Drosophila melanogaster: one gene and its partner. The protein of the gene in region 1 interacts with the protein of each later gene in a pairwise test. Each region holds a gene or a part of one and is shown on either strand. Other genes may lie near its edges.

The links. Proteins that work in one complex are often made in the same cells at the same time.
Region 2: the proteins of CG5180 (region 1) and myd interact in a two-hybrid assay, tested with the Drosophila melanogaster proteins (one large-scale study listed by BioGRID).

Annotation. Positions count from the first base shown.
Region 1 is NT_033777.3:20,555,792-20,559,546, reverse strand, and holds the start of CG5180 (uncharacterized protein), read right to left. Parts: upstream 1,618-3,755; 5' UTR 1,496-1,617; intron 1,304-1,495; 5' UTR 1,150-1,303; coding exon 956-1,149; intron 898-955; coding exon 351-897; intron 287-350; coding exon 1-286.
Region 2 is NT_033777.3:19,178,699-19,182,453, reverse strand, and holds the start of myd (mayday), read right to left. Parts: upstream 1,796-3,755; 5' UTR 1,338-1,795; intron 1-1,337. Other genes in the region: CG5555 (uncharacterized protein), read left to right, coding at 2,034-2,049, 2,274-2,327, 2,395-2,743, 2,806-2,976, 3,044-3,755.

The DNA.
Region 1 (3,755 bases):
GTGCGTTGAATAGAACGTCGCTGATCAGTTTCTCGGCCACGATCCGCTGCGTCGGGTTGATGGAGCGCAGTTTGCTCGCCACATTCACGCCAATGGCATCGTACTCGTCGTCTTGCCGGTGCGATGTGCTCGTAGCCGCTGTGGTGGTATAGGCAGTGGTGCCGGCATTGCCAAACAATGGCTGATAGTGATCGCGGCCTATCTGGATGGTGGGAACGCCCTGATGTTGGCCATTCGTCTGCTGCAGGTGGAGCTGCTGCTGGTGGTGCTCCAGATGATTGACCGCCTGCGTGGGGAGAGGAGGTGATTGAAGACCCTAAGGAACTCTTCACTGCTTTGGAGCTACTCACTTGTTGTATCTCGCGCTGGGAGTTGGAGTCTAGGGAGGTGATCTCTAAGACCTTCACGGCATGTCCCTGAGCCGCCGCCGCCGCAATGGAGGTCTGGGCTGCTGCATGGGCTACCATTTGCTGGTGTGCTTGGGCTGCGGCTGCCGCTGCTTCGGCCGCCTGGTGCTCCTCGCTCTTGACAAGGGTCACACATTCCGCGGGCGTCACCGAAATGGTGCTCAGAGTGGCGCCCTGACTGCTGACGACCACATTGTTGGCCGTCGCCGCGACTTCTTCCACATCGTCCGGGGACGTGGGTATTATGGACTCCATGTGCTGAGACTGAGTGCCCGTGTGATGTGAGTCGTCCTCGAACTCCATTGACTCCTCGTCGTCGAAGCTGATATGGAGTTCTCTCTTGGGCTTGGAGCCGAGTTCGTGGCGCTTGGGCTTGTGGTCAGCGATGAAAAGCAGCTTGTCGTAGTACCACAAACGCGTTGCGTAGTCGCCTTTGGTACTCGTCTTGCGGAATTCCCGCCGAAAAGCGGACCGCAGTGAGTTAATTTTCCTGTAAAGCGTGAATTGTGTTTACTGAACTGTGGCACATTTGACATGGAAATTCTCACCTTACTACCATCGCCCTGTCCGGATTGGGCTCCACTTCTTTTAGCTTCTCCACCAGGCGATCGTAGGACTTGTTACGGGCTGTGTGATTGCTGTAGTCGTTGTGCTTGGGCTGCCAGAGGCACTCCTCCTCTTGGTACTGCTCGATAAACTCCGTGAGCCAGTGGCGTGAGTACGAACGCAGGTCTAAGTTCATGGTCCCTTTCACTCGCGTTTTATTTGGGGTTTTCTCAATTAACTTCAGCTTAGTATTTTTTGTTTTCGCTGCGTCTCGCGTGAAGTTGGCTGCGCCACAAACGTCGGGGCGTTGCCAACCCAAACAAATCATCGCGGTCGAGATGGTATCGAGCCTGCATTTTTGAATATAAGGAGCAAAAATTTAAATTAGGCAAATAAAGTAAAACAACTTTAGCCCCTTAAATAAAAAGTGATCGACTTTAACGTTAAATATGACAAAGTGCATACAAATTCTCTAAAACTGAATAGCTATGTGATTCATTATCCGTTTCATTACAATTTTAAGCCAGGAAATAATGATTTACCCTTTGTATTGCATTTATGAGTGATACGGCATATCTATTGCAAGTCAAGAATATATTTTGTTTAATAATATATTTTAATGTTTATTTATGTTTAATATTTTGTTTAAACGAACTTGTATGCCAGTGAATAACACAAATATCTGTAGCACTTGTTGAAATTATTTACAACGTTTTGAAAGGGTGCTTTCTTTTACAATTGACATGACGAAACAATGACATAACGGCTCTGGAACAAATTTTATAAACAATTTTTGACAGCAGTCCTCTCTTAATTTGCACCACTGTGCCACAGTTAGAGGGTTGCGGTCTGGGCTTACCTCCAGCGTGGACTCCACCCACGCCGTCTGGCAGCGCAGTCAGCATGGCAACGCCGAGCGCAGTTCTCGATGTTTTTGTCAATTGCTCTTTGGAGCTTCGCAGGCGGAGTCCGAGAATCGCGCGGAAAATGTGCATTAACAAATAGAAAAATCCGAAATAAAGACAAAGAATTAGCTCGCGGTTAAAGAGAATACAGCACCTGTGTTTTTGGAATCGAAAATCAGTGCGAAACGCCTACCACTGCTGTGTGTTGTTGTTATTGTTGCCAAGGCCGAAGGAGCGAAAAGGGAGGCCGAAAAAAAAGAATCTGTGCTAACAAAAACAAAGGTGCGTGTAGGGCCAAACACACATGAAATCGTACATATGTACGCATATGTATACGTGTGTGTGTTCAAAATAATTTGTTGTTCTCGTTTTGCCCAATTATATAAGGTGTCCGTGTGTGAGTGGTCTTTTTGGGATGTTGCAAGCGTTTAATCGGTGTAAACAAGAGCGAATAAATGGATTGCCAAACAGTTGGTGCACAGTGGCCTTTATCGCAAAGTACTTAAATTTAAGAGAAACAAACAACAACACTTACAAGCAACAGCTGTTTTTCATTCCCCTAGGCGCACTCAGTCCAATCAGAATTAAGTCACGTATGATTCTTATAAATCAAATCCAGTTTTGTAAACAACAAACAAAAGTATTCCGAATTATTGTTCAAGGAAATAAATTGGCTAGAAAATCGCGCATGTGAAAGTGCACTTTCCGAGTAATTTGCATAAATTTCCATTGCCCCATTTGGTTTTTGTTATTTTCCTCCAAGGGGGTACAAAGTCCAGTTGGAATGATGTTGTAGCTGCTTTACTATCTACATCCCGCATCGACCCCCCCCCCCCCTCCAACGGGCTATTTATAGCAAACAAATTTCATAGCCAGAAGCAAAGTGGAAAACACTTGCTGGATAAACTGGATCCGTAGTAAGCCACAACCTTGACTGAGTGCAATAGCAGAGAAAAAAGTGCACAAACACCGCCTAACGAGCTTGTTTACGTTTATCAAGCGCCGGCAACAACAGCATCCCAGTGCACAGTGGTCGAAAAGTGTCGTTCATCGCTCGAATTCCTTATCAAAAAATTTGTTTATGGAGGGGGCACATATCAAGAGGCTGTGCTAAAATCACACTTAAGCCGCAAGCAAAGGCGCGGAATATTTGCTAAACTACTTTTGGCCCAACTTTTCAAGATAGAAGAGCTGAAATCGCTAGGTACAGTGATTACTTGTACCAGAAGGTTGCATTTGAAACGTATCAGCCTATAAAATCAATATAATTTAGTTAATTTCCTTAATCTTAGTAGTTGCTTAGTAGTAGTTAGTCGACTCACTTCTATATAATTTAAAAATAGTAAAATATGCTTACTGCCATCCTTAACCAGTATCCACTGTACAGCTCAGATGCTCACGTTCAAGGTTGCACTTTTCCACTCATTTGCAATCGCATTGATGAACGCTCTCGGTTTTTGCTCCCAAAGATTTCCCGCACCGGCTGCTCAATGAAAAGCGTTTAATTTTAGCCGCGCTCAGCTGTTGAACTTGGAAAAGTGCCCAACCCCCCAAAAAAATCGGTAATCAAAACACACGTGCTGTCATATTCCGCACATTCGGGCGAGCTGAGCTCACATTTTAATATTTCGGCATGATAATTGTTTTGGAGGTGTGTGCCACACATAAACAGGTACATATATATGTATGTACATATATATACACTGGGCACTTACTTATGTACATATGTACATATATCAACTGATAATTCGGTGCCTTTTGCCTTCCATAATGAGCAAACGAAACCAACCGGTTTGCGGGCTTGTTTGCTCTTTGGAGTGCGAGAGAGGCGAGAGCGGGTACATCGATCCGTTCCGATCTCTTCTGGAACACTCCACTTCTATCTAATGTGAGACCC
Region 2 (3,755 bases), 1.4 Mb from region 1:
TAATTATAATACACAGCTCAATGGTTTTATTAATTTCGCACTAAATATGCTTGGCAGAAATGCTCTTTAAAAACATTACTCATTTTATTGAATTTGCAGGCTGGAACAAACAGCTTTAAGCCTAATTAAATATTCTCAGTAAATTGCTTTTAATAATTGATTACCTTTTAGGATAAGCGGGGTAATTAAAAGAAGCTCAATAAATTAAGTATTTATTAGTGTTTCCTTCAACACAAAAGGTGTGTAGCTGAGCACACTTTGTTTAAAAGTAAACATAGTTAAATTAAATAAAATTTTATTAGCGAAAGCTGATGCTAAGAAATTTTTGGGAAATCAATAAACTATTTAGCTTTAGTTATTTACCGTTTGTTATATATAAACTGTGCATAATTTAACAGCAAGAGGGAAACAAAAAACCATGGTTTTGCCAACTTTTTTGAGTCAAACTCGGTTTATGTAAACTGAAAACGGATTTTGGCTCCGCTGCAAAAACTGGTTGGCAGCGTTTCGTTCCGTTCGCCTTGCGTTTATTGCATACAACAATTGATTTTCTTCCGAAGGCGGAGAGCGGAAAAGCGGGACGGCGAAAATGCAAATGAAAATGGCAGAGTGCTCAGCGCCGTTGCGGGATGAATGTCAGCGAGGGGGCAATACATGTAGTTTCAAACAAACTTCAAATTGGCGAACACAAAAGCAGCTCTCAGACACACACACGCTTTACATAGTGAGACGCCGAGTGGGTGGAGTGAATGGAGTGGATGGAGTGGGTGGGTGGCGCTGGGAGGTGCCACCTGCTGGCTGGGCGAGTGCAACAAAAATGACAAACGTGCTTTTGATAGACTTGTTGACGACAAGCTCCTGGCACTTGGCAGCTGTCAGCAGCAACCCAGAAACGGGCTGACGTCCTCACACACGCATGCACTGGCCCAAAAAAGCGGCACCATGGAGATTATATTATTTATAAATTAGATTTTGCATAGAAAGGTTAAATTTACTTTCACTTAAAAGTGGTGAGAGCGTTTAATATTAATATTTGGCAAGGAAACGCAAAGTTTCATTCATTGATTGAGTTAGTTATGATTGATTGATGAAATTTAAGGTTTAACTAATATTTCAAACTACAAAGACACATAGACAGTAAAGACACATAGACACATAGTAATAGACAGTAAATATATTAAAAGAGGTAATTCAGCACAAATGTTTCTCACTGTGCACCCACGGCTATTTTTGATCTCCGGTCTTGTTTGTTAGCATATGAGTGCGGTTGTGAGAAAGGTGAGCCAGTTGCGAATTTGGTAAGCAGGTTTATGGGCGAACCCCTTAATAAATAATACCAAAAATCAATAGGTTGACTCCTTGCGATGACCGTTTTTACGGCCGCGTCCATACATTGAATGTTGCACGTGTGTGTGCGGTTAAATGTACTTTGTGGTCCAATCTTGGTAATTGCAATTACAATCGACTTTGGTCCGCCGCGCCCATGGTAATCAATTTGTTGTGTTAACCGCGGGCGCAGCCCATGGTTACTGCAGCAAACGGTATGGAATTAAATCACAAAAAACTATTGCACTCACTTTTGCTTTCGCTTTTGGTTTTTGATTTGTTGCAATTTCCTTTGGACAGCCTTTTTGTTTTGCTTCTCTTTTATTTTGACTTGGTTTACGCGCGCGGGAAAGAACGAGATGACGACGTAAGTTTCGTAAACTTGTTTTTGTTATGGCCCAAATCACGGATGACGCGAGTCTGGCTCACCGAACACGTCCGATACGCAGCAGCAACAGCAACGCACTGGCTTTGTTTTGGCCAACTCGCCAAGCGGATCCGACCGAAGTGGCCACAGCCGAAGTTGTCAAGCGAAGCCGACAAGTTGTATGTTACTTCATAGCACACTGTTCCACAGGAAATCACTTTTATTTTATTGGCTCCATTCACTTATCATTTCATACGAGTAAAAATATACATTTTCTCTATTGGCGATGAAAATCTGCTAAACCGAGCACGAAATTAATATTTTAATCTTTTGAATTTCGATGGACTTGAATCCAGGTACGTTACAATCAGTGTTGGTAGGCATTATCGATAAGCGATTGTTGAACTAAACACTTTTGTCGCGAAGCAATCGATGGCCGTTCACTCCGCGCGAACTAGTTCACATAGAAAAATAACAAACTCATTTCGCACAGAGTAAAATAGAAAATTACACTTTGAACGGTCTTTAGGCTTTTTTTTATATATAAAAACTAATGAAAATTATGCCCGTGTCATGCTAGAAAACATTTCCCTGTGTGTGATCAAGATCGAAACGGATTTGGATCCCAGTGCAGGTAAAATTCAATGCAGCAACGATAGCTTCGGACAAAGGAAGTGCATTAATTCTATATTTTCGAACAGATTCTGAGGGAGCTGTGTCCGCCGAACATCCAACCAATCCCCGAGTGCTCAAGGAGCGGGAACGCGACCGCGGACTTCGCCAATCCCGCGACATCACCATCGAAACGTACACAAACCAGCGTTGGAAGCGGGAATTGAGTGAACCCAGACAGCAGGAGATGAACTGGGTAGCCGCCGTGCAGCATGTGAACAGCCCCTCGGCGGGCAGCTCCCGGGAGATAACTCCTCGGAGCGGCGATGATGGCCAGGCGGGAGCCAGCGCCTCCAACTTTCCCCAAGAGATAGGGTACTTCTCCGGCAATCCCATCGTCGAGGTGACCAAAGGTCTTATCCATCTCTACAAGAAAAAGTGGGTTAACTCTGCTCTATCCTACTAAATATTTCACTCACCATTATTTCTGTATGTTTCAGCGAACGCAAGGCCATCAAGGAAGCTCCATCTAACCAACTCTGCCTGCTGGCCGTGCCGGCCACTCTTAACTGCCACGATCTGCTGAACTTTATTGCCCCCTGTCATGCAGAGATTAAACACATCCAGATTGTACGTGACGGCAGCCCCAATCAGTTCATGGTGCTTTTGGAGTAAGCGGCGTTCCAATCTGACATTACAGATTCACGGATATTTACTAATATAATCACACTCTTATAGATTCCGCTCGAATGAATCCGCTTTGGAGTTCTACAAGTCCTATAATGGCAGTACTTACAACTCACTGGAACCGGACTCGCTGTGCCACGCGGTCTGGGTATCAGAGGTGGAAAGGAGCGAGCATGGAGCACCACCAATGGGACACACCGAGCTACCCACCTGTCCAGTGTGCCTGGAGCGCATGGACGAGAGCGTGGATGGAGTGTTGACCATATTGTGCAATCACGCCTTCCACGCCAGCTGCCTGATGAAATGGGGTGACTCCACCTGTCCGGTGTGCCGCCATGTTCAAACTCCTGGACTGGTCGAAGATTCCGTGTGCATGGAATGCGAGGGCACCGATTCCTTATGGATCTGCCTGATCTGCGGACATGTGGGCTGCGGACGCTACCAGGGAGGACATGCTGCTGCACACTTCCGGGCCACAAATCACACCTTTGCCATGCAGTTGGGCACCTCAAGCGTATGGGACTATGCCGGTGACAACTTTGTGCATCGCTTATTTCAAAACAAATCCGACGGCAAGCTGGTGGCATCGCAAACCGAGAAAGATGAGCGCGAGGAAAAGATTGACTCCATGCAGATGGAGTTCACATACCTGTTGACCTCTCAGCTGGACACACAGCGCAAGTACTATGAGGAGCGCATGGAACGATTGGAGCAGGAGTGGCAGAACCACAAGGCGACTGCCAACGACGCCAAGACAGAGGTT